2 linked regions of the Coturnix japonica genome follow. The protein of the gene in region 1 purifies or fractionates together with the protein of each later gene. This does not show direct contact. Links are inferred from orthologs where the notes say so. Each region holds a gene or a part of one and is shown on either strand. Other genes may lie near its edges.

Region 1 (12,621 bases):
GCCCTGCCCAATTCACTGTGGCTGTGCCATGCTCCTCCACCCTCCTTCTTATCCCATTTTCTTTAGCCTTCTCCTCGCCTACTGATTCTAGCAGCTTCCTGCCTTGCATGCTTTACCGAGATGGCCCCCAGGCCTGTGGACAGGATATCTAAACTTTCTCCTTCCCATGAGCCCCGAGCTCACCACTGAAAAAGCAGCACTTAGCTTCATGCATATCACCTGCTATTTAGCTCATCAAACTATCTAATCAAGCTTCCAACTGTGCCCCTCAGCAAGGCATGAACTGTGGTGTGTGGGAAGTTAGGGGCAGTGAGGTGCATCTGAGCACATCAGGGTTGCTGTACATCACAGTAGGCTCTGAACTATCAGGAGAGTTTTTCTGGTGCCTGTGGATAGTTTAGAGAAGGCCCAGCATTCCCACGTCGTCCATCTAGAGAGAGGTTCTGCATCTAAACACAGATTTTGCCTTCAAGGAAAAGTTTCCTACGGTCTGAGCCAACAGGTCTCAGGTCAAGCTATAAAAAAGAAGTACTTCTATCTTTTCAAATGTAAGAGGGTTTTTTGTTTGTTTGCTTGTGCTTGTTTGTTTGTTTGTTTGTTTGTTTTTGTACTGCAGGGGCTTTACATCAGCTTTTGATGTTCAATGGAAGACCTATGCTCTGGAAGAAGTGGTTTAGTGCAGTGCTTACAGCCAAGCTGATCCACGAGGCTTGCACATGACTATGATACTCTGGGCTTTCCTCTGTGGCAGAAACATTTTCTTTATGAAGTTTAACTGGCACTGTCATCATCTTTTGCCTTCTTTCTTCAGTTTTCAAAATCTGCCTTCCATTAGTATAAAAAGATCTTGAGATGGTAATAATATTCAACACTTACAGGATTACAAGGATTTAATTATGGCAGTCTGAAAGAACAACAGCATCAACTTGATGCACTTTCAGAGAATCTTGCCTGTCAGCTGTCCACAAATAGTATCTGGGAAGTCCAGCTGTTGCTGTATGGGTGACAGTGCATTTAGACATGAGACAATGCCGTTAATTCGCTCATGACCACATCAAACTTCTGTCAGAAATACTAAAACCACTTTCAACTATCAGCGTTGTGGAATTGGAATAGCACACATTTCAGGAAGTCTGGCCCCATCTTGCAGATACAAAGATAACACAGACTGCTCTAACAAGAAATGTAGCAATAAAAACAGAAGCTCCTGCCAGTGTTCATGAATATCAAATTTCTACTGAAAATCAGGTACTTCCCAAAATGACTCTGTAACTGGATCATAGCCGTGGTTACCTGTCATGAGCAGCAGTTGTATGGCACTTGCTCTCAGCACTTACTCCCACGGTTGGCACAACAGGTCTAAGCAGGCATATTAACTCATTGTCTTGTCTTTAGACTGTGGTAGAATTGCTGAAATGTTATCTCCCAGGAGTGGCATGTAACTAGATATACTAACCCTGTGAAAACCGGAGCGTGCAACAGATTTTCAGTAGGAAATATACATAACCTCTTCTGCTGAGCCTGGTCTGCCACTAGGTGGCAAAAGACCTATGGGAGTTATGAGGAGACTGGAAGACGGGCTTCTGAGAGAAACTGAGTTGTCTTTCTCAAGCACTCCGCATATCTGCATGCATTTTACAATATGGGTGGAACAACTACCTTCTGACCCAAGAAGAGGACTGTCAAGCTTGCTTTATTGATATTAGTACACTTGTCTGTAGGGGTTTTCCCATGAACATTTATTAGACATGGTATAAGGATTATCTGGTCCAAAAAAAAAAAAAAAAATCATTTCTGTATTGTTCATCTCCCAGTCTCCCTCACAATCAATTCTGTTATGCCATCATACCTGTTTTGGAATCACATTGATCACTAAGATCAATGAAATGAAGCATGCTAAAACAACTTGGAAAGCAAAAATGTTGTGGTTTTGTTGTTGTTGTTGTTGTTTAGTTTTTTTCTTAATATAATTTCACCTCTCCAGTTCACAGCACATCAAGATACCAACACATCCATGTCTGTGACAAGATCATGACTGTGGCATTGTTTGTGAGCACTGACCTGAAAGCCTAAAGCTGTTCAGACAGTTGTGACTGACTACCATTCCAGAGTGAAGGACAACACCAATGTATGAAAGTTACCTTAAAGAAAAAAATAGCATCTTAAAGCAGGGCAAGTCAGAGGCACCTTTTCCCCCTTTCATCTTTTGTCTACTTATGATAAATTAAATTATTAAGCAGCCACTTTTCCCAAATATATGTGGAAACCAAAATTTGAGTAAATGCTCTATTAACAAAAAGCACACTTTATTATCACACTGCAGTGATAAATTTTGCTCCTGAAATTTTAGAAAGCCATTATTATGCTGGGCCTCAGATGCCAGTTTTGGTCTACAAAAATTCTGTAATGGCATGCTTCTGTACAAGAAAGTGCTATCTTTGTTTGATATGTTTGTGGTGCTTAAATCTGTGAGGCTGTTATTGCTGCTTCTGCTTCTGGTTTTGCAGAAAGTAGAAGGAAAGTATAAAACAGATCCAGTGTACTTTCAGGCTTGCAGGTCATGTTCTTTAAAATATTAATTCCTTCAGATATTGTTCAGATAAAAATAGCCAATTCCCCCAAATACTCAGAAATATATTCCCCTCTCCATGGAAAAAAAAAGGGGGGATCCTGGAAGCTGTTGCACCTGCAAGTAGAAAATAATCATACACATTGTAGATGAGCAATGGTCACAGCGGTTTTGCAACCTAATCTGTGATTTTCAGTGTTTTTGTTGCAATTCATTTTCTTGGCAGCATTCTATCAATTTGGAATGTCTTTACAACAGTGCAGTGGATGAAAGAGAAAACAGGAACTGTCTAGCGCTCAGAGCTGCGAACAGGAGCTCATTCTTTGATCACTGCCTGATACCGTGAGCCATGCCTTGCAGTAGTGTTTACCAGTGTGAAAAGACTACCTTGTTGCATATAGAACCATAAAACAGTTGTGCAGACTACCAAATAGAATACCAAGGTACAAAGTCCAATCTGCTTTAATGTTAAGGATAAAAGCTTCATCATTTGCGATGAATATGTATTTTCACAAATAAATTTGATTTTATTAACCAAATACAGGCCATAGCAGAATAAATATTGCTCAGAACTGCATTTGTCTTGCTAAAAAAAAAATACAACAGTGATGGAATTAAAAAAAAAAAATTGTTTTCATTGGCAAGTGACAAATAGAGATAAAGTAGTAGTATTTTTATCTCAGATAAGATTCATTCAACATTCCAATAGGCTTCTGAACTAGCTAAAATTAAAATGTTTGTAAAACCAATACAGAAATGTCAAGCACCTCCAGTGCTTTAAATAGACATTAAAAAAAATTAAAGAATGAGGAAGAACCAAACAACAACTAGTGAAGCTCAAAGACAAATTTTTTCAACAGCAAGCTCATTACAACGCAGAGCTGCAGAAACTTCACTGAGCTGTGCTCAGCAGAAGGTTCTGCCCCTATGGTTTAAATTTATCTTCAGCACAAGCACAGGTTTGGAGTTTCCCATAAAGCTCATTTTCTCAGTATCAACTTTCTTATCCTATATCATACTTTAAAGTCTTTGGTTTGTGCAGTAAACTGAGAGGCAAACAGTAAAAATAAATAAATAAGTAAGTAAACAAACAAATAAATAAATAAAATATGATCATTATTTAAAAACAACAACAGAAACACTGTTAAAGCAAAAGCTTGTGAGAAAGAATGGCCAGCAGAATGTCTTGAGAAACTATTAAAAAAAAATAGTGGGAGCAAAGAAACATGTTAGCTGACATCTTCAGTTGTTGAGTAGGAATGGATGCAGTGGTTCTAGTTGGCAGAAGGTGGTTAGACTTCATGACCCAAAAGGTCCACATGCTTTCTTCAAGTTTTTAATTCCCACAAAAATATTTTCTTAAATATTGTTCTGTAAAATTCAAGCTTATATGTACCATTATAGCTTCATGGGACTGCAGTATGGTGTAAATGAAATGCCGGAGCTCACAGTGCTCTTAGATATCATCTAATGAATATAGCTGGTGGCAGCAGCTGAGCAGTCTGAACATATTTTAGTTCCCTTTTCCTTTGCCACTTCTTGCCTAATATCCTGAGGACAGCAGCTTTTTTCTACTGGTCATGATAATGAAAACCACAAGCAAAGTCTCTCTTAGGCAAACCCTCTCTGAGAAGAACGCCTCTCAGCAAACACAATAGGCTGCTAATGTGACAAACTCCCGTGGACTATCTCATTGAGGGAGCCTGTTTTTCTGCTTATATTAAAATACTGGAGAGCTTTGGGAAGTCCAGGTAAATTGTACTTGTTTGTCTTATAAATAAAAATGCAAAGTTCAAGAAATGTATATATATGTATGTATAAATAGTGCAAGATATTTTACACAACCTTGTATAAGTGGAAATTCTAACTGTAAAATTTTCTTGCAACTAGTTGTTTGGCTGAAAAGTTGCCAAGTTGATGAGACTGTTTTTTTTCTCTCAAAGGTTTGTGTTTTGTTGCCTGAGTTTTTACTAAAAGCAGCCCTACTTTAAGTGACATTTGCATGTAGAAGACCAAGAGAAATTAGAGGTAATTATTTTCTAGATAATGTCATAAATTATCTAGCTACAACTCAGCCTAATCTTTTTGTATTATTTGTGGCTGTTGTTTTGGAGGTATATATTTTTTACATATATCATACTCTGGATTGAGACATCAGTGTAAGTATTTTTTTGTACTGGGTCATGGAAGATATTTTTCTTTCCAGCAGAGCTCCAGAACAGTATTTAATGGCTGAACACTGCACAAAATATCCTTTACAATGATATGGGATTTTGAAATTCTAGAAGTAGTTGTAGGAATTTTTCAGTGGCAAGAACTTGAGGGTTTTTTTTTTGTTTTGTTTTGTTTTGTTTTTTTGAGATTCAGACAAGATACATTAGCTTTAGTAGAAAGATCAGGATGATGCTGTATGCAGAATAGAGTAGAAGAATTACATTGTTCTTATTTTTTTATACAACATTATGGATTTGGTTTTAGGATTGCATGAAAGATGAGAAAACAATACAAGGGAGGGGTAAAAGAGTTTTAGTGGAATACACAGTGGAAAAGATACGGAATACAGTGTGGTCAGGTTGTCTGAGTTTGACAGCCACTTTTGTGTGTATGTGCTACTTTCATCTGCTGACATCAGATATTTCAAAAGATTTTATCAAGAGGATGTAGAGGCTGTTGGTCTTTCTCCGAGGAATCCCATAGATTTCCATCTATCCTTTCCATCATAAAGGTCTGCCTTTCAAGAAAGGCAAAGAGAATAACTGCCACACCTTTGAATATTTCCCATCTGAAATATAGGGCTCGTTACTTTGCAATCATTATATCTATCATTTCTACTATGTGAGCAGATGCTGTCTTTGTTTTTCACGTTTCTACTATTTACATCTGTAAGTACAGAATACTGCAGTATCTTGACTCCGCTTTTCAAATGTTGAACTCATAATCAAAAGAAGCCTTACTTTACTAGTTATTACAACTAGAATTAAGTCAAGTAACTTGGAAATTATTTATCTTTTCTGGAAATTATAATAATAATAATAATAATAATAATAAGTGCTGTACAATGGTAATTTTGAAGTCTCTCTGTCCGGAAAAAGAAATAGTCAAGCAAAATTTATCATTAATTTAGAACAGCACTAGGATTTTATGCAAACAGCTAAACACCCTCAGTCCTTTAACTTCTGTAGAACCTAAATTGGGCTTTTATATTTCCAACTGATTTTCAGGTCTGTATTTATCTTTAATTTTCACTGTCATTTTCTTTACCTTTTTTTCCCCTGTACCTTATACATTATATCTTGTCTGCGGATTAGAGCTCAGTTCCTTCAGTGGTTAGCAGCTTTTGTGATTTTTTCACAATAACAGAGTACATAAGTATGTGCACTTTTATTCTTAAAGTGTTATCTTTGTCAACTTTCTTGTGTTACTTTCTAGAAAACTCATCAATTCATTATTCTGTTTCAATACTAAGAGTTTTTAAAAACCTACTTAAACCATATCATCTGTTAATAGAAATAAAAAGTTAGAGATGAGAAGCAAAAAGAGTTCTTTCCCTTAATAAACCAGATCTAAACAACTTTTGAAGAACTGCACGATTCCTTGTACAGTCTATAGTAACACGCATTTTATTTACTGAACTAAAAATTGTATGCACACATCTGCTGATGCCTTCATTAATCCAGGGTTGCTATTTACTCGAAGAAAAAGAAACCACAAGGGAAAGCTGATGTGAAGTATTCTTTTGGCTCCATCAAGATGGAAATTAAATGATACATATTTACTCCGAAACAAAAGTGCTTATTTTGTCTCATATTGTTTTGTTTTTAATCAGGCTGCCAGTTTTGACTGACATTTACAGAGAAAATTCAGGAAAAAATAGATTTAGAATTTTTACTTCTGTTGTTATTATTCCGTTATTTTGAACAACAACAACAACAAAAAGTATAGTTATATTGTAAATAATGGCAAATTTCACTTTTAATTAAATTTCAGTGTAAACTCTTTGAAGAATTCTGTACAAATGCATCTTCATATCTGTGTGGGTCCTATCTGAAGGAACTGGAAAACGGGAAAGCACATTTATGCTAAACTCCTTGATCTACACATGGGAACCAAAACCAGAGTATTTTTCTAGATATGAGTCAAACACATTTAAATGCTTCCATCTCCTTGCAAAGAAATTCTTACTGTTTACCTTGTGCTGCTTCCAATTCAGTTCAAAAGGTGAAAGATTGGAAATATTCTGTATTAAGTCTCCTTAGAGAATGCAAACAGAAAGTTCCAAATATTACCTAAGTACTTCTTTCATGACACTCCTCTGTCTAACAAGCACATTGCATTTTGGGTAGGAACAATGGGGTAAACTTTGTCCAATTTCACAATCTTTTCAAGTTCCTGTTTCGTTAAGTACAACGCATTGTATGTGCTAAAGGAAAAGGTAACTGCTGCCACTTCTGGGAAGGGAAATGCAGAAACAGCAAAGATCACCAATAAAAGATTATCTTTATTCTTGTTCTCCATCTGTCTAACTGAGAAGCTAAACTGAAGCTTAGAATCCTCGATATGGCTTCTGTTATAAGTTTATTAAATCAGGAGATGATTATATACATTACAGAGAAGCAGAAGGATTTCTTAGTTTCTTACCCTCCTTGGATTCTTAGAGTGCTACCATCACTACTTATCTTCCTGTGAGTGAGACAAGTTATGCTGCTGATTGTAAGCCCCTCTACATCTCCAGGAGCTCATTTTTTATGAGTTTGTAGATCTGTTTGATGAGAACAAGGTTTGAAATCTATTCACAGTACCATAAAGACATTTTTAAAAACAAATCTATTGATGTTGGTAGTCCTTACAGAAAATAAACACTCTTAGCCAGGCAGTAGAGGATTGTTTATTGCCTTTGAAAGCCTGTATGATCAATTATGTAATTGATCTTGTTATTGCCATGATATAGAAAAGTTCTCAGAAACTGCACATCACAACAGGAAAACTTTCTTGAAAGCCATACTTCAAACTTCCAAAAAGTTTATGTGCTGAATATTTTTCATCCCAAACTTTCACATTACTGTGGCTTAGTACAGAATGGTTTCCTTAATTACAAATGGAAGAAACTGCAGAAGAATCAATTTATTCCTATATCTTTCAAAAGAAATAAGCTTCTGTGATGGCCAGGTTATTGATTAGATTGTCAGTTACAAGTTTTGAATACTTAAAACCCTGTATTTCTGATTGTTTAGATTTTGCTACAGAAGTTATAAAAACAAAGAAACAATTTAAAAATAAATTTAAAAAAAATTAAAAATAGCATTAGTCCTGATTCAAGAGAGATCAAAGGTAGAACATTTTGTCATTCTTTCTGGCTTTGAAGTTAGCCTAGTTTTCTCATCATGTGGGTAAAATCAGTGCTTTGTGAGGCTCTATGAGAAAAATCTTATATATATGTACATATACATATATATATGTATCTATGCAGAGTAACTGTGTGTGTGTCTGAGCGTATGTATAGCAACCAACAGTAGATAGCTTAAGCCTGATAATCTCCATGGTAAATGTGTGCTTCCTCCCTTTCCTACAAGAGAAAAATAGATAATTAAGTACTCTGGGGATAGCTTTCATATTGTTTTGGCTGCTTTTCTTTTAGCAGATAGCTAAAAGAAAGACAGTAGCTCTGTAATACAATGCAGTTTGGAAAGACTGAATTTCTTGGTGATACTGAAAGACTGGGAAGGTTAACTTTATGTTGCAGAAGTCACAAGTGAAACTACTCCAACATATCAGGAAATTCAACATGATAAAACCAAAAAGAAGGCAAAAGGAGTAGACAACCACAGTTCAGAAGATCTTGTTAATGAAGTTAAAACATTACTGAATGCTCACTGAAACCGTACTGGCTGAAGGCACAGTTCATTTATTGATCTTACTCTAAAAGGATTTTTCAGACCATTATATACAGGATAGTGATAATCTTTGTTTCCAAACAAAGAATTTAGATCAGTTCCTAGCTATAACATCCCTGCTTCATAACATTAGTTTTACATTTTGACCTTCCTTCATAAAATGGATCTTAATTAGTAAAAGCAGTTCTGACACCACTGTCTGCTGGCAAAGGAGCAGCCCCTGCTGCTGGTGACAGCTGTAACACAAGAGTGGACTCAGGCCATTGTGGTGTGACCACCTTACTTCCCTTTGCTAAGATCTTTCGTTGCACTGTGTAACAGCTGCAATGTATCAAACTGTATTCAGCTTTTATTCACAGTTCATATTGAAGGCTGAAAGTTCTTAAAAAGAGCTGTCCAATTCAAACATTTTCTAATGAAACTGAGTTTTACCCACTTTCAACTGTTCATCTTCTTCCTTTTCTCTTTCTTACAGTATTTTTGCTTACTGATTGTCATTTCTTCCTATTTTGCTCCATATATTTTCACTTTCAGTCTATCCATGTACAGTGTTTATCAGATACAAAATGGAGAACAGAAACAAGGACAAAGCAGGGGAAGGTGGAGGGTAGTAGGGAAGCAACTTGCTCAGAAGGGAAAGAAAATTTGACATACAATCCCCCCAAGACAGAAGACTTTCTGTTTATGCAACTTTCAGTTCTCCAAAGATCTGATGTGAATAACACTATTCTGATGTATTTTTCAGATTCCAGTGTATTCTATGCTTCTAAGCATAGGATACTTGTATCTTCAGGACTACTTTAATTTTGAAATTGTGGATATCTTCATGTAAATATGTACTAGGTGTTTACTTCCTAGTTCCAGAAATAATCAGTAATCACTCTGTGAACAAAAGGAACAGAATGACTACTGTCTGAATGCAGAACCTGTAGTGAAAAATTTAAAAGATTATATAACCACAGCAAGGATACAACAAAGTGCTTAGCATTTCTAACCCTACAGGAAGATGTGCTACAATATCTCCACAGCCAATCAGCAGTACTACAAGCGTCAGACCAGGAAATTCTTTAAAGTACAGTATGTGTGAACATTTCAACTGACACTTTCTCATTGTTTCTTTTTCTTTGTCATTTCTCTATGCCCATAGAATGGAAAGGCAAATGTGAAGTCACTCATGGCGAAGTTTAACGTGGGTAACAACCCCTCAGAGGATGTTTCTGGCAACATTCGACTCTCTAAAGTCACAGGACAACCAACCCATTCAGGATTACAAACAAGGAAAGCAGTATTTGAGAAATTTGCAAGTCAAGGAAATGCAGCTTCTTCTTCAGGATCCAGTGTTTCTCAAAAACCTGCTCATTCTAAGCCTCCTCTGGCAGTCAAGCCTTCAACTGAAGATAAGACAGAGAAGGATCCAAAGCCCCCATATCTGAAACCAGTGGGGCAAAAGTTTGGGGTTCAACTTCAGGCAACTAATCGGGAAAGTGATGGAAAAGCTGGATACACTAAAGCCCCTACCAAAAGCAGTGACATGGCAAAAGAAGAGACGAAGCCTCTGTATCCAAAACCTGCAGGGAACAAGCCTCTTAATTCAGCTCCTCAAGAGAAGGAAAAAAAGCCCCTGGGAACAAAGCCAAATTTTAATTCCGAAGCACAAGAGAGTGAAGAGAAAACATCTTTTTCAAAAGTAGCCGGAGTTAAGGAAAAGTTCATGTCTGCCACACAAGAAAATGATTCCAAGCCTTCTTTCTCCAAACCGGCTCTTGCACAAAAGCCTTCTGTAAACCATGCAGTTTCCCACAATGAAGACACCTCAAGTAAAAATGTTTCCCCACATAAAGGTCTAGCAGGCCCTAGACCAAATATACATTCATTTAAAGCAAGAAAGGAAACGGATGAAAATAGTAACTGCGCAGCAGAAACTGCAAGCAGTCATTTTTCTAACATGGCTCTGAAACCTACTGGTCACTGGTCCAGTGCATCTCAAGTCACTCCCAAAAATGCAGAGGAAAAGACGGAAGAAAAGGGAGTGAGTGCCACCAGGAATATCTTTCTGAACAAAATCATCCAGGAAGAATCTGGTTTATCTCCCCCCAGATTCCCTAAAACAAGCACAACGTTTGCTACAGGAAGGTCGTTGGGTGGGTCAGACGAGAAGGATGACTTGGACAGGAGCTCAGGAGCTCCAAAACGGAAGTCTTTGCCCCCGCTGTTCAAGCTGGGACCACCCCCACAAAAGCCCAGCCGACCACCCAGCGTGGACCTGGAAAGATTCCAGAAGAGCATCCCAAGAGACAGTGAGTCCTCTATGTTCTTCCTTTAATTTCATTTCTACCCCTTCAGCAATCAATTCATTTCAGGTAAAATTGTCAATTCTGTTCAAAAATAACACAAAACCTGTGCATTAGAGAGCCCTTAAAGCCTTAATATATGCTTTTACCTGTTCTGGGCAGGACAGAAATTATACTATTTCTCTCTCAGTAACACATAGTGTAGGAGGAATATTTTCTGTATTGGGTTTATTTGTTTTTCAAAACTATAACTTGTAGCAGTGAGTCTGAGTACTTTTCACAGCAGACATTGAAGTACTGACTTCCTATAACTGAAGTGTTGATGTTCTCTGTTCTGTTCTCTAATGAACTTCCTGAGCACATCTTGATATCTATCTAAGTGATAGTAAACCTGTTGTAACCATACATTTTTTTCTTCTTTGACTAACCACATGGCCCTGCAAGCCAATGAATTTTATAGTGTTCAGAATGTTAGAAAACTATGTACTTTAGAACATTATGCAAGGTTACAGTCAGCCATTCCCAAGAGGAACTGCATGGATCTCATACCAAGATCTGAACCTAGACTCTATAAGCATCTTCTTCTCTTTGTATTTTTTATTAGATCTGTGTGATTTCAATAGCATAGAAGTGTGTAGTGCCTGAGGATCTACTTCAATGTTTTTATGAAGAACCAAGCCTCCAAAATTTCTTATGGTTGTAATCCAGGCACAAATATTAATAGATTTCTATAAAACTTGAGATTGCTTTGCATGTAATAATAGAATCTGTGAATACATTTAAAATGTATGAGTATATACATTTCTGTGAAGAAATGTAATTGCCATGACTGTACTCACGCAAAAAGTTCTACTTCAACAAGTTCCTTTCAACACGTAGGGCAAGCTTAAAAAAAAAAAAAAAAAAAAAGAAAAAAAAAAAAAGCTGAAAATCTAATTTCTAATGTCTGAAATCTAATTTGTCTAAGATGGTGTTTCTTAAAGTTAGGCCCATGCTGTTAGCTCCGGGAGGGATCAGTTTTTCAGATGTTCTGCATGTCCTCCTTAATTTTCTTTTAAAACACCTGCTCTTACAAGTTTGGGGTCAAGATTTTCTCCTCCCAGTGCATTACAGGCAGTCCTGGGCAAGGACTGAATCAGCTATCCTCACTTCCAGCAGGAGCGAGGGGATGCTAATTGCCATGCTTTTATTCCAAGTTATAGGGCAGCTGAGGAGGCTCTCTCTCTTTTTGTTAGAACACCAGGTACTGGGAATTATGATCACATGAAAAAACTGTGATTATATTTTTAAAATTAAGCTTTTAAGCTTTATGCAGTGTTTGTGGGAGAATCAAGAACAAAAACAAACAAACAAAAAAAATTACTCTTCTATTAAATTTTGAGGGCTATTCCCCTCCCCCCCACCCATTTATTTGTTTTGTTTTTTGCTTGTTTTGCTTGTTTTTTTAATGTACTATTACCTACACTGAATTTGGAAAGCAAAGAATATATTCAGGCCTCACAAATATTTTTTAGCTCAAGTCATTTTATCCAGGTACATCCTGCTACAAATTATATCAAGTGAAACACACAGCTGAGTAGTTTCTGACAGTGGAGGTCGTTTCACGTTAACTGCATTAGTCTACCTCAAGCGTCTCTCTTAGATTAACTGAACAGAGCTTAAGTTCCCAAGTAGGGAAGAGATATGCCCAATTACCTCATTCAGCATCTGATGAAGCTTAAAACAGTTGTTCTAAAGAAATCCACAACCATCATGTTAATTCATGTCAATTACTTGATATAAAATTTGACTTGTGCTTTCAGTGTTTAGAATACAGCATTGCTTGTGTTTTGTCAGTTTTGAATGCACTCAAGACTGGATTTTCTGAGAA
Region 2 (12,180 bases), on another chromosome or scaffold:
TGTTTAGTTATTACAGTTAACGCTTGTGATGTTTTTGTACCTCATCTTCATCTGTGTTTGTCTGGTGAGCAGTCTGCCTGCTAGGAATGGGCAATGGAGGTCTCAAATCAGCTGTGCCTCTTGAAGGAGATCTGCTGTTGTTGCCTTTAAGATTTCAGAGTAAGAATAGAAAACAATATCAGGAAATAATTTCATCTGGGGAGTGCATACGGGTATATGGTGGTGAATCTTGACTTTGCAAGGCATGATGAATTTGTATCACTCTGATGATATGTTTCAAATTGATTTGAAATCAGATTTAGACTAATGTATAAAAACCACATTCACTGCATAAATTCACTCTTAATGCACAGGTAATTTTTATCAGTTGAAGGTATCTCCAATTTCTCTAAAAGTGGAATTAATATTAATAGATGCAGCATATTTCACATGGAAAAGTGTTTTCTTCCTTTGTCGAGGCTATTCACATGCCACAGTGATTTGTAGGTAGTGTTGCTCAGCTTTCAGTGTTGTTATTGGAGAAAAATATTTGTATGAATTTTGGCAGTGGTTTAAAAAGTCTATAAGCCCAAACTTTGTGTAGAAGAAAATCTTCTTAGATTCAGAATAATGTACTGAAACTGCCCTGCAGCCTTGAGCCACTGTTTGTGCATAAAATCCACAAGTATAGGATACAAACCCAGGGGAAAGCGAGGTGGTAGTGAGCCACTTGCAGACAGGCTTCTAGCACTGTGTTAAAACAAAACAAAATAAACTACTCAGTATATTGTGTCATTGCTGTGCAACATTACTATGCTTTTAAATACTGATCTGGACTGTAAGCTTGTTTTACAGAACATGGCATCTCCCTGAGTCCTATGAAGGATTGAGAACAGCCTTCTCTTTGTTTTTTATTATTTTCTTTGATGTAAGTAGATCCACCAATAAATTGGAGCTCAGTATCTGGGTGTTTATATATATGCATATTATATACATATAAAAAAACAAACATTAGAATTCAAAAGGAATGAGATGGCAATAGGTGAAACAAACCTTTCAGCACCAGGCATACTGTTGGATCCTGGCTTAGGCAGGGGCTTGATAGATTTTGATGGGAATGTATTGGAGCTGTGTGGGGGCAAAGATATCTGTGGCACTGCTCTTTGGGGTATATCTGTAGAGAAGAGAAGAAAATGTAAAAGTTGCCTTAGTTAGAATGAAGAAATCCCATCACGTTTCTGCTGTTTAGTTAGATAAACTTAATAGAGATTTTTATTTCAAAGTCCTTGATATTTTAGCTATGGACTGTAATCTCGTATGGTCAACTAAGGGCTCAATATTAAGGAAACTGAGAGTAAAATTAGATTAAAAATAAAATAGAGCAGACTGGAACATTTACATTATGTAAGTTACATTTTGGACACTACTGAAATGATATTTTTCTTGCAGCATCCTTAGGCCTCAACTGTAGGTCCTATGGCCCTGTTCTTGATGGAGTCTTAGAGACAAGGGTAAGTTATAAAGATTTGGCCAAATGTTCTGCTTCTGTTATGAAGTCGCTTTACAAACTGAGTAATAGGAACTTACAAAGAAATTACTACTTATATGGAATGCTTATTACATGAAGCAAGTTATGCTTCTGAAATTGCTCAAAAGAAAGAGCTCTAGAAACTTTAAAGTTAGAGAAGAAATACTTACGGTTGTCTTCTTCCTGAGGAACCAAGAGAAAACAAATGTTAGCAACTCATAGCATGCTGTTTTACAAAGCAAAGAGCTGGAAGTTGATAAATTTTGATTACGTTATCTAGGCTATCTAAAATGCTGGAGTTTGTCTTCATACAACACCAAATAACTTTTAAAGTTCTTTTGTTGAGGTGCAGCTATTATTTACAAATAAGCAGTGAAGTACAAATACCATACAAGATGTTGACCCAGTGTATTGTGAACTTTCCTCATTCCAGAAACAAAGCACTGTGAAAGATCCATCAAACAGAAATGTTTACTTTTCCCAGAACTATTAGTTTTACAGGTACTTTATTTTATTGTAGTTCCTATATCTTTACACACTTGCTTTGGGACTATACTTACTTCAGGTCTTTTCTGTTGTGCCCAGCCCTGCCTGAAATGAAACAGAGAAGACAAAATATGAATCGAAGATGGAATATTCCCCATTCACTTGATGTGCATTGGGCTATATTTTCAATTAATACACAAACTTCTAGTAAATTATATTGTCCCATAGAACTCCACAACATTGGGACCCATGCCATTCTATGATTCAGTGATTCTGTGATGGCTGGAACACAAGATGAACCTTCAAGCCTTCATTTATTTGACAGATATTCTTAACTGTTTAGCAGATCTCAATTACTTCTTTATTTTGTTTCAAAATCGATCACGCTATTCAGTCTATGTTATCTAGACAATTATCAATATTTTGCTATAGGATGCTATTTGCTCTGGGTTTTGCAGGCTCATAATAGGAGAGCAAGCCTTTTTTCTTCCTAATACTCCACACAAAATATCTTTGGGATTCACAAAACAATGTTTCTTAGAGCAAGACCTTGATCTGGTGGTTAAAATATGGATCCTATGTTTCTTTATGCTGGTAGGAGGGGAGCCCTGATGTGTGATGGCTACTTGAGCTAGGACTTGACAGGCAGCTCTTATTGCATTCTCTTTTCTGCAGCAAACAGCACATTTATGAAATGTTAATATATAACTTAATTCTTGTTAAAACAAAACTTTGATGTGTGTAGACAGTACTGGAATGCAGTAGCATTTAATTATACCATCCTACATTACTTATCCACATTTGTGTTTAATTTCATTTATATTTTCATTATTATTTAATTAAGTAAATGAACTCTTACTTTGCAGGGATTTGCTTCCTTAGAGGAGATGGATTTCCTCTTTCGTATCTATCACTTGGTGGTACAGGAGGTTTTGGCATCATTGCTAGTTGTTCTCCCAGGGCTCTAAAGCAGGAGCAAGATGATGAAATAAAGGCAAAAATTTATTAATGTGAAAAAACTGATTAATATTGGCATCAAGAGTCTCATGTCAAAAGGCAAAACAAAACTTCTTACCTTAGCTGTGGAGTTAGAAGCTGCGAAACAACAAGGAATAGTTAAGAGCTAAGGATATCAAAACAGGTTAAAAGCATGTAAGGACCAAACTAAAAGATCTCACCTTCTCAGGATGGCTTGGCTTCCTCCCTGAAAATAATAAAAGGTTATGTTTAGAAAAAAACATAACTGCAGATAATTAAACTTTCTATGAGAAAGAAGTTTTGAATATTATCAATGGCAATATTTGGCAAATTGAAGCATGAGGACTCCTGACATAGAAGCCAGACAAAGATTTTGATTTTATAAGCACTGGAAGAATTGCAGTATCTTGATACCTTGATAATTCTGTGATTCTGATTCTGTGATCTTTTATAAAAGGAAAAAGTTTTGATTTTCAAAATGGCATATTTTACAAAAATATTTTCCATGATTCAGCTTTGAATTCCAGAATGCTTCCATACTGATGTGTACCAAGTAGATAAGGAATAGAAACCATGAAGTAGTCTGTTTCTTTCTTTGTAAAGTACAGTATTAAAGTCTGTAACAAATGCCCTTCTTCCTTCCTTTCTGTGTTTAAGTTCTCAGCATTTCTTTTCAGTCTGGTAATGAACTACATAGAGATTTTTATTATCCTTGTATGCAAAGCTGTTCCCTCTTTTAACCTGCTAAGTTTTCCTATGATCATTCACTTAGCTTATTTTATTCCATCGTTGTGCTGTAATCTCATAATGTCTTTCTGATCAACCAGCCCTGATCTGCTACGTAAGTATTTCTCACGTTATTTATTCCAAAACAGATCACCTTGTACTTTAATTCAGTTATGTACATTTAGTTGAGCCTTGATCTTTTGCATGAATTCTATTAGACCTGACAATTTTGATTATTGCTATTTGTACTAACATTCAAGCTATTGATAAGCAAATACTGACCTGGTAGTGGGCTTTCTCTTTCAAATGGTGGAGCAAGGCGATCCAGTGAGGGTTTTGTGCTTCTGTCTATAGAAGGAGCTGGGGCTAAACACAAAAACTGTGTAAGACATTGCGCTGGTACAGGTCGACATAACTTTATTTTGCAAAGCTATTAACTGTTTAAAAAAGTATTAGAAAATGAAGCTGAGGAGTTACAGGCAGTGCTATGTAGCCCATTGACAAAGAAAACAACAGCTGGACTTACGTTTCAAAGGCTTAACACTTCTGTCATTGTTGCTTGGCAGAGGAGGGAAGGCTGGCAGCTAAAACAAACATTTTACACATGGTTAAAATCTGTCCTTTCTATTTTAATGTACACATCATCATATCTGACAGTCTTGTTAAGCACAAAGAATTGGTCTCTTCCCACTATAAGATGGGTAGGAGTCATTAACCCTCCTGAAGAATGACCGACGTGTGGTTCTTTGTCTCATATAGAACCATCTGTCTCATAGGGAATATTTTATAGGGATGTTCTGAAGGACTGTTCTTATTGTGAGAGCTGGGTCAACAAATAGTGCAGCAATCTAGGACACAACTAATGAGAACTTATAAGAAACAAAGACTGTGAAAGAGTTTAATATCTGACCCATCAAATTGTATTGTTCCATGGAAAAAAACCCACACTCTATAAGAGTTCAACTATTTTGACACCTTAAAAACTTTCTTATTCCTCTACACATAATAATTGAATAACAATTTATTTATTACACTTGGATTCCTCCTAGGTACTGTCAAAGTAAATAGGTGAAGTATTTCATTTGCTCTGAAATATCAAGAGAGAAACATACAGAAGCACCTCTTCCCCCAAATGAGGCTGGTGATGGGCTTGGGCCAGGCCGCTGGGGTGGTAGTGGAGGCTGATGTGATGATCTGGCTGTTGGAGGCCTGTCTAAAGAAAAGAAAAATCCCAAGCTCAACAACTATGAAAACGGTTTTGTTATTTTATTCTCATTAGATCTTTATGAAGAGATGTTGCATACTTGATCTGATGTATCATACAGATATTATGTTAGTGTTTAATGGGCTGTTGCTTTATGATAGTGTATGATTTAGTGTTCCTTTGGGAGCTAGATGCTCATCTGTCCCCTTGATGGTGGGACTGTACCTGCCTGGTAACTCATTCTGATCAAGGAACAACTGCTAAAGCTAAAATAGTATGTAAATTTTTCTTAAACTTTATGCAGGCTCCAAACCAAGAGCCAGATTGTGCACACATCACATGAAACTTATCTTTAATCCAACAGAGCTTGTCTGAAGTAGAAGATTTAGCTTTAAAAGGTATAAAGATATGAACTTGCAGCATCTGTGCTGCTTTGAGATAAAGCCTTCTATATCCCGTTAGCAGCCACGTAAATGTAAATGATAATGTGAAAACATTACTTTTTTTATTTTTTTCTAGTAATTACCTATATAGTCTGTGCTGTTCGCAAGTGACTTGGCAGGAAATATGACATTGTGGTGTGCTTCATCATTACTGGATGGAGGTGGCTCATAGCCATCACTGTCATGTTCTGCTTCCTCAGTTTCTTCCGTTGGTGATTCATAGTCAGCCTCGTCTTCCTTTTCCTGGTCATCATCAGGGCTTTCATAGTCGTCATCTTCATCCTGATCATCCTGACCAACATATATAAAAGATGAGTGCTATAACAGGTTACTTTTTTGCAGTATTCTACAGACTGAATTCGGACTTTAGAAACAATTCTGAAAAAAAAAATAAAAGAGGTTTGTGATACAGGTCTGGATACTCTGACCAGAACAAAACCAGACATATACCACTAGTATCTTATTGGGCCCTAACAAGATTGCAGTGTAAGCATGGTAGCGGTCATTGCACACATCTTCTGTGCTGTCTGCCTTGACTTACAGAAGAAGTATTCTTAGACATTGGGGTTGTTTGCTTCGTCTAATGAAGTTTACCAGTGCATTTAGTATGCTGAAAGACAGAAAGCATCCTTTGCAGTCTGTCTGGCTTTGAGAAATTGATTGGATTTTTCAAAAAGTAAACTTTATAGAGAACAAAATAGCAGGATTTTGCCCTTGAATAACACAGTAACCTTCCATTTTCTAACGATTGCTTTCAAGAGCTTGAAATAGGAATATAAACTTTAGCTAGTCATAATTTGTGAGCTTGTACTTGAATCAGTGGTACAAATCTGCTGTTGCAAAGCACTGCCTCGTATTACTGGGCAAAAGCCCATTCCTCAGTGAAATTTGCATGCAGCTACTCCAATCATTCAGGCTTCTCTTTTTCCTTAGCCTAACACCCCGTGCTACTGACTGATCCATCCATACTGTCTAAAGTAGGTAATGCAAGAAATAATAGAGATTACAGAAAAGTTGAGTCAGTCTACTGTTGGACCAGTATGTTATGTTAGTCCTCATACTTACAAATGAAGACCAGCCATCATCTTCTTGACCGTATCCTGCATAAAGAAGTTTAAGCACAGTAAAATTTGAAAATGTCAAGACATTATTTGAAATAAAAGGACAAAAAACCATCCCAAATTCATTCTGAACCACAATGCCACAGTTCCTACTATAGCAGCAACAATGTAGGCCTGTCAAAGGCAGGCAGACTGGCATCCGCAAGTAGCTCATGCAAGGTTCTACAAATAACATTATTGTTTGAAACTAAGAGTAAAACTTTCCTTATGTGAGATTATACAGTGTCTCATCTAGTTTGTCCTGTTCTTCATGCTTTAAAAATCATTTGAAGTAGAATGCTCTCAGAATAAGCACAGCCTTTGTATCTCTTAAAAATTGCTATGGCAATTAAATCTAAAGTCATTTTAATGTCAGTAGACCTGGGGGAGCATTCTCTCATTAGTACAATTGTTGCTGAAGTGTGCAACTTTTTGCTATTTCTTCAATTTTTCTTTTATGCTTTTTTTTGCTTTGCCTTGTCTCGCTTATCGTACTCTACAAAGAAGAACCTACTGGTTTAATGTTTTTACACACTATTTGTGCTTAGAGACTGTCAGTACGCACTTACCTGAGTTTTCAGGACACTTTTGTGTTTGGCCCCTGTAACAAAGATATAAACAAATAAATTCCTTCCAATTGCAATTTTTAAACGTTTTATGTGCACTAAAATGTAATGCACTAAACCTAGTACACTGAATTGCTAACAAAGCTAACGTTTAGATTGTAAAGTAAAATGAAATTTGTTTTAATTAGTTCAACTTCACACAAAATACCATAAACACACTACTTTATATTTCACATACAGTCACCAAATGTCAGCTCAACTGTCCTGAATACAAGGCCAAGTCAGTGAGGTGGTGTGTATGAAACTAAGTGAAACTCAGTGAGTAAATCTATCGGGAACATCAGTCCTTGGAATAGAACTTAACATATAATATATTTGTCAGTAAATTGTGATGCATTTTGAAGTGTAATGATGTACAGGTCTGTAAATTCCATTAATTTTGACTCATTAATATAATGTGTCCATATTTTATAGCATTCTGAAAGAGTAATTTACTCAGTTAGAAAATTGCATGAAATTTGTATCTTTATTGGTTTCAGACATGACAGAGGGATCCAGGTTGTTCATGAGCTCAAACACTCCTATTTTTAACAGACAGCATTAACAACACAGTTTTATTTTATATACTTCGCAGGTGATCCCTCTGACACACAGGTGTTGTGGATCAAACCAATAACAGTCCAGGAAAGATTTGACTGATAACTTTTGAAAAGAAATCAGAGTTTTTCACTTACCATTTTGAGAAGAAAGAGATCCTTCCTTCATTTCGGTTTATATCTTGACTTAGTTTACTCAGAATGCTGTTTAAAAGAACCACAGAAGTAGTTTTAAAAATACTCCTTGAAACCTGGCAGTCACTTTCTTAGCTGCTTTCCTCCCATTTTACCACCATTAAATGAAATGTTATGATTTGGATTTATCGTTTACTATGTGGTAAGAATACTTAATTTCTCTTCTTACTGCAAAGCTACACTGTAGCATAAAGAAAAAGGAATGGCTTGTAACTATGCAGCTGGATGTTGGACTTCTTCACATGGAGAAGAACCTGTATTTTTGGATCAAATTTCAATATCAATGTTAAGCTCAGCAAGCCTTAGAAATTTGGGGTGTGGTAGACGTCAGGCACTAGAGCAGTGCTTTAAATAATCATCTTACATTTGTATTACTTTGCATGAGAAAAGCGGATGCTATTTCAGGAGTCAGCCTCTTTTAAGCCTATGGTCACAGAGTTGAAATTAAGTGCATCTTGTGGCAACTTTTCTTTTTGTCCCCCTTCCTCCACAGTCACTATATGCACAATTAGGTGTCCATCCCATCAGTTCCATGTCATAACATTTATGCAGGGCAGAGCTACAAATGAAACGTAAGAAGAGTAGATCTTTATGTCTAGAGAGATTTTGATGTGTTTGTCATCAGTCATGCGTAGTTTATGTACTGTGTTAAGGGTGAATAACAACCAGTGAAATACAGTCCTCAAAGATCTTTAGGCCAGGAGCGTGCAGTTAAGCTGCACTTATTGCTGGCATCCATACCTCGACAATGATGTTATTTCAAAGAAAGCTTTTGTTTCAAAGAAAACATGTTCTGAGTCATACTCTGATTCTTACATCTCATTTCTTTTAATAGGAAGTCCACTCAGAAAGTCCTGCGGCAGCCAAAGCAAATGGGTTACACACATATGGTTGAAAATACCCCAATTGACTTGCTGATATTAGACAAGTCTAGCAGAATGTGGAAGTAAAAGTATTATGGAGAAAAATCAGGAACCAAATGGGTCTGCTTATGTCAGATTCTAAATTCTGTAAAAGCTTATTTTTCCTGTTTGTAAGAGTAGATTTATTTGCCATAGATCTTAGATCTGGCAATAAACTTTCTAACAGTATTCTAAAATCATTGTATGTGTCCAGGAATTGCCATTCTGTTACCAGTATCTTGTTTTCCTTCCTGTTTTGTATCTTTTTCTGCTACTTACCAACACTGATCCCCTAATTATCTAATTTGGGCATCTCTTTCATGTATAACTGCTTTTCTGGGCTGAACCTGAGTAAGGCAAGCTTTCAAGTGCTCTAGCATTTAACAAAAAGCCAATAAAAAACTGCTATTTTTGTAATCCTGAGCCAAGTAAATGCCTGCTGTTCCCCAGTATGTACCAGCAAGTATCAGATAACAAGTAATTTCATAACAAATATCTAAAAGTGATAAAATGGGTGATTTTAAGTTAGAGATGTGGACTCAAGGAAGACTATGAAAATAGAGGAAGAATGTTCTGGGGGGATTCTTTTTTAGGACTTTTTTGCAAATTTCCAAGTTGAAGCAAATGTCATACTTGCCCCTTTTGAAATAAATACATGCACAAATGTTAACAACTTAAGAATGGTTACAGAATTATCACTATCTCAATCTGGTGTTGTCACCCAAGCAAACTCTACGAGGGAAGAAAATACCTGAATTACAAGCTTCTCTTTTTTCCTGTGGATTCGATGCTTGCATGCACAATAAATCTAGTGCTGCTGGTGATCAGTAAGTTGCTGTGTGAATAGTAAGACTCCAGTGAAACATCAGGAAATGTTCTGGTGAGAACTGTGCCCTGCTTAGACACGTGCTTTTGTAGAGAAGTGGATTACAAAACTTGTGTTTGGCTGGTTCAGCATCATAGGAGAGGCTGAGGAAGTGTCTTTCAAAATATTGAGCTCAGTTTCTGCTAAAGAAGTAAAGAAAAGGCCACGGGCTTTAAAGTTAATAGTTGTTTCAGTTTAGAGTCCCACGGGTGTGAATATGACCTGAGTGTCTGCAGGCTTTATGGACTGAACATTGGCTGGCTGTTGTGACAATTTGCATCACCCAGTTTTGAGGGAAAACTGAAAGAGAAAAGTTGCTCATTGTATTCGCTCAGCAAATTAATCATTTTCTGCTTAAAATCCAGCATGTAGTATTTGAGTTTATTTTAAATGGTTCAAACCAATGGCTTAGAAAAGAAAGCCTGGTTTAAAATGGTAACTTTACAAGCAACTTCATTACAGAAGGTACGTGCAAAGAGCAGCTGAGTCTGTAGCTATGTGAGGAAGGAAGTACCGAAACCACACTGCTTTCTGAGTTGTGGGAGTGTGTGATAGGGCAGGATAAGGCAACAGCTCTTGCAGAAAATGTTACTCAGACTTCTCTTTCTCTTTCTGCCCCCTTCACCCGGCACTTAGCTTAAAACTGGCAGGAAGTTAAAAAAACCCACACAACTACAAAAACACCAGTACTCCTAAAATGACTTTTGTTTGGTTAGTACAGATATTGCTGAAATGAATAGAATCCTTTCTGCGTGTATTAGGAAGAAGAACTTAGGACAGGTGAAATAGAAAGAGGATGAAGTGCTCTAAGGCCAGAAAGTCGCATAGCTTGAATGCTGCCAAGGGCATAGTTTGTGATGGAGGCTTTGTTGTGGCCTTTGAATAATGTCTGTTGGGCAGATGCAACATTATTATGTTGCCTTCTAAACAGACTGAGTATCAATTAAGTTTTAAACTCCACAACCTTTCTGGGCAGCCTGTTCCAGTGCTCTGTCATCCTCAAATTAAGGATTTTCCATATGTTCAGATGGAACTTTCTGGGATCCAGTTTGGGCCTATTTCTTCTTGCCCTGACACTGGATAGCACTGAAAAAAAACCAAAAACCTGGCCCCATCCTCTTGACTTTTGCCTTTAAATATTCACATATATTGATAAGATCCCTTCTCAGTCTTCTCCAAGCTGAACAGTCCCAAATTTCTCAGCCTTTCCTTATAAGAGAAGCTCCAAGTCCCTAATCTTCTTTGTAGCTTTCTGCTGGGCTCTCTCTACAAGTTCTCTGTCTTTCTTGAACTGAGGAGCTCAGAACTGGATAGAGTACTTCAGATGTGGCCTCACCAGGGCAGAGCAGGGTGGGAGGAGAACCTGCCTTGACTGGCTGATCACACTCCTTTTAATGTACTCCAAGATACCACTGACCTTCTTGGCCACAAGGGCACACTGCTGGCTTGAGTTCAACCTGTTGTCCACCAGGACACCTATGTCCTTCTATGCAGAGCTCCTTTCCAGCAGGTCAGCCTCTAACCTGTACTGATGTGTGCAGTTATTCTTCCCCCGATGTAGGTCTTGACATTTGCCCTCACTGAACCTCTTAAGGTTCTTCCCCACTTAGCTCTACAGCCTGTCCAGGTCTCTCTGAATGGCAGCACAGTCTTCTGGTGTGTCAGCCACTCCTCCCAGTTTCGTATCATCAACAACTTGTTGAGTGTGGACTCTATGCCTTCATCCAGATCATTGATGAACATGTTAAAGACCAGAGCTAGTACCAAGTCCTGGAGAGCACCTCTAGTTACAAGCCTCCAACTAGACTGTGCTACTAATTACAACCCTTTGAGCTCTGTCAGGCAGATGGATTTCAGTCCACCTTGTTGTGCACTCATCTGTCCCATGCTTGCTAAGCTTACCTATGAGGATGTTGTGGGAAACACTGGCAGAAGCTGTCATTCACCTCTGCTTTTTTGAAAGAGGAGGACATTATGTAAATTTCTTACTGTTTAAGACTGCAGCTTTTACTCTGCAGAAAGCAGCATGACTTCCAGGCTGTGCCACGTCTGCAGGTTCTGAATGGGTCCCATTCAGAACTCTGTACACGTACCACGTTTGAACTGTCAGATGTAATTATGTGCTTTATTGCAGGGATGCAGTTTTGTTACTGCAGATTTCCACAAGTGCTAAGAGAAGTAAGAGAGAAAATTTGTTTTGTTAATTGTGCTGTTGTTTGTTTGTTTGTTTGTTTTCCTTAAATGACAGTCAGTTCTTTTTCCTACTAAAGCTCTAAATTCTTGTTTTAAACAGTGGCATTCCTGGAGGATTTCCCATCCTACCATCCCTTTTCCACATACAGTCACAACATTCCAGTGAATTGCTTCTCTGTTGGTAAGTGAAGAAGTCTCTGTTTCCCTCAGAGTCTCAATAACCATGGTTATAATAAAATGGTGCTATTAGTTGACTATAACTTCAGAAATGCCAAGACACCTGGGCATCTTTTCCATAACATCTGGGCTCACTTACTAGCACTTCATACACCACTACAGCCTCCTATCAGGAAACTTATTCTGTGAAAATGCAGATATGATCGTAAAAAACACATCGTGTTGGAGACTTTCAAGTTCAA

What was found.
Region 2: the proteins of FYB1 (region 1) and LCP2 purify together in Homo sapiens (co-immunoprecipitation; 6 studies listed by BioGRID and IntAct, with this or other methods). This does not show direct contact. The link is inferred for Coturnix japonica from reciprocal best matches to the Homo sapiens genes FYB1 and LCP2.

The regions. Positions count from the first base shown.
Region 1 is NC_029547.1:11,264,956-11,277,576, reverse strand, and holds the start of FYB1 (FYN-binding protein 1), read left to right. Parts: upstream 1-4,159; 5' UTR 4,160-4,320; intron 4,321-9,607; coding exon of another isoform or gene 9,608-9,634; coding exon 9,635-10,757; intron 10,758-12,621. UniProt on the Homo sapiens protein: Acts as an adapter protein of the FYN and LCP2 signaling cascades in T-cells. May play a role in linking T-cell signaling to remodeling of the actin cytoskeleton. Modulates the expression of IL2. Involved in platelet activation.
Region 2 is NC_029528.1:13,160,407-13,172,586, forward strand, and holds part of LCP2 (lymphocyte cytosolic protein 2), read right to left. Parts: intron 11,943-12,180; exon of another isoform or gene 11,686-11,942; intron 7,811-11,685; coding exon 7,745-7,810; intron 7,046-7,744; coding exon 7,014-7,045; intron 6,445-7,013; coding exon 6,410-6,444; intron 5,636-6,409; coding exon 5,428-5,635; intron 4,911-5,427; coding exon 4,810-4,910; intron 4,282-4,809; coding exon 4,224-4,281; intron 4,064-4,223; coding exon 3,980-4,063; intron 3,198-3,979; coding exon 3,172-3,197; intron 3,089-3,171; coding exon 3,069-3,088; intron 2,958-3,068; coding exon 2,853-2,957; intron 2,099-2,852; coding exon 2,068-2,098; intron 1,691-2,067; coding exon 1,678-1,690; intron 1,154-1,677; coding exon 1,033-1,153; intron 730-1,032; coding exon 680-729; intron 145-679; coding exon 41-144; intron 1-40. UniProt on the Homo sapiens protein: Adapter protein primarily involved in signaling pathways within T-cells, as well as other immune cells such as platelets, mast cells, and natural killer (NK) cells.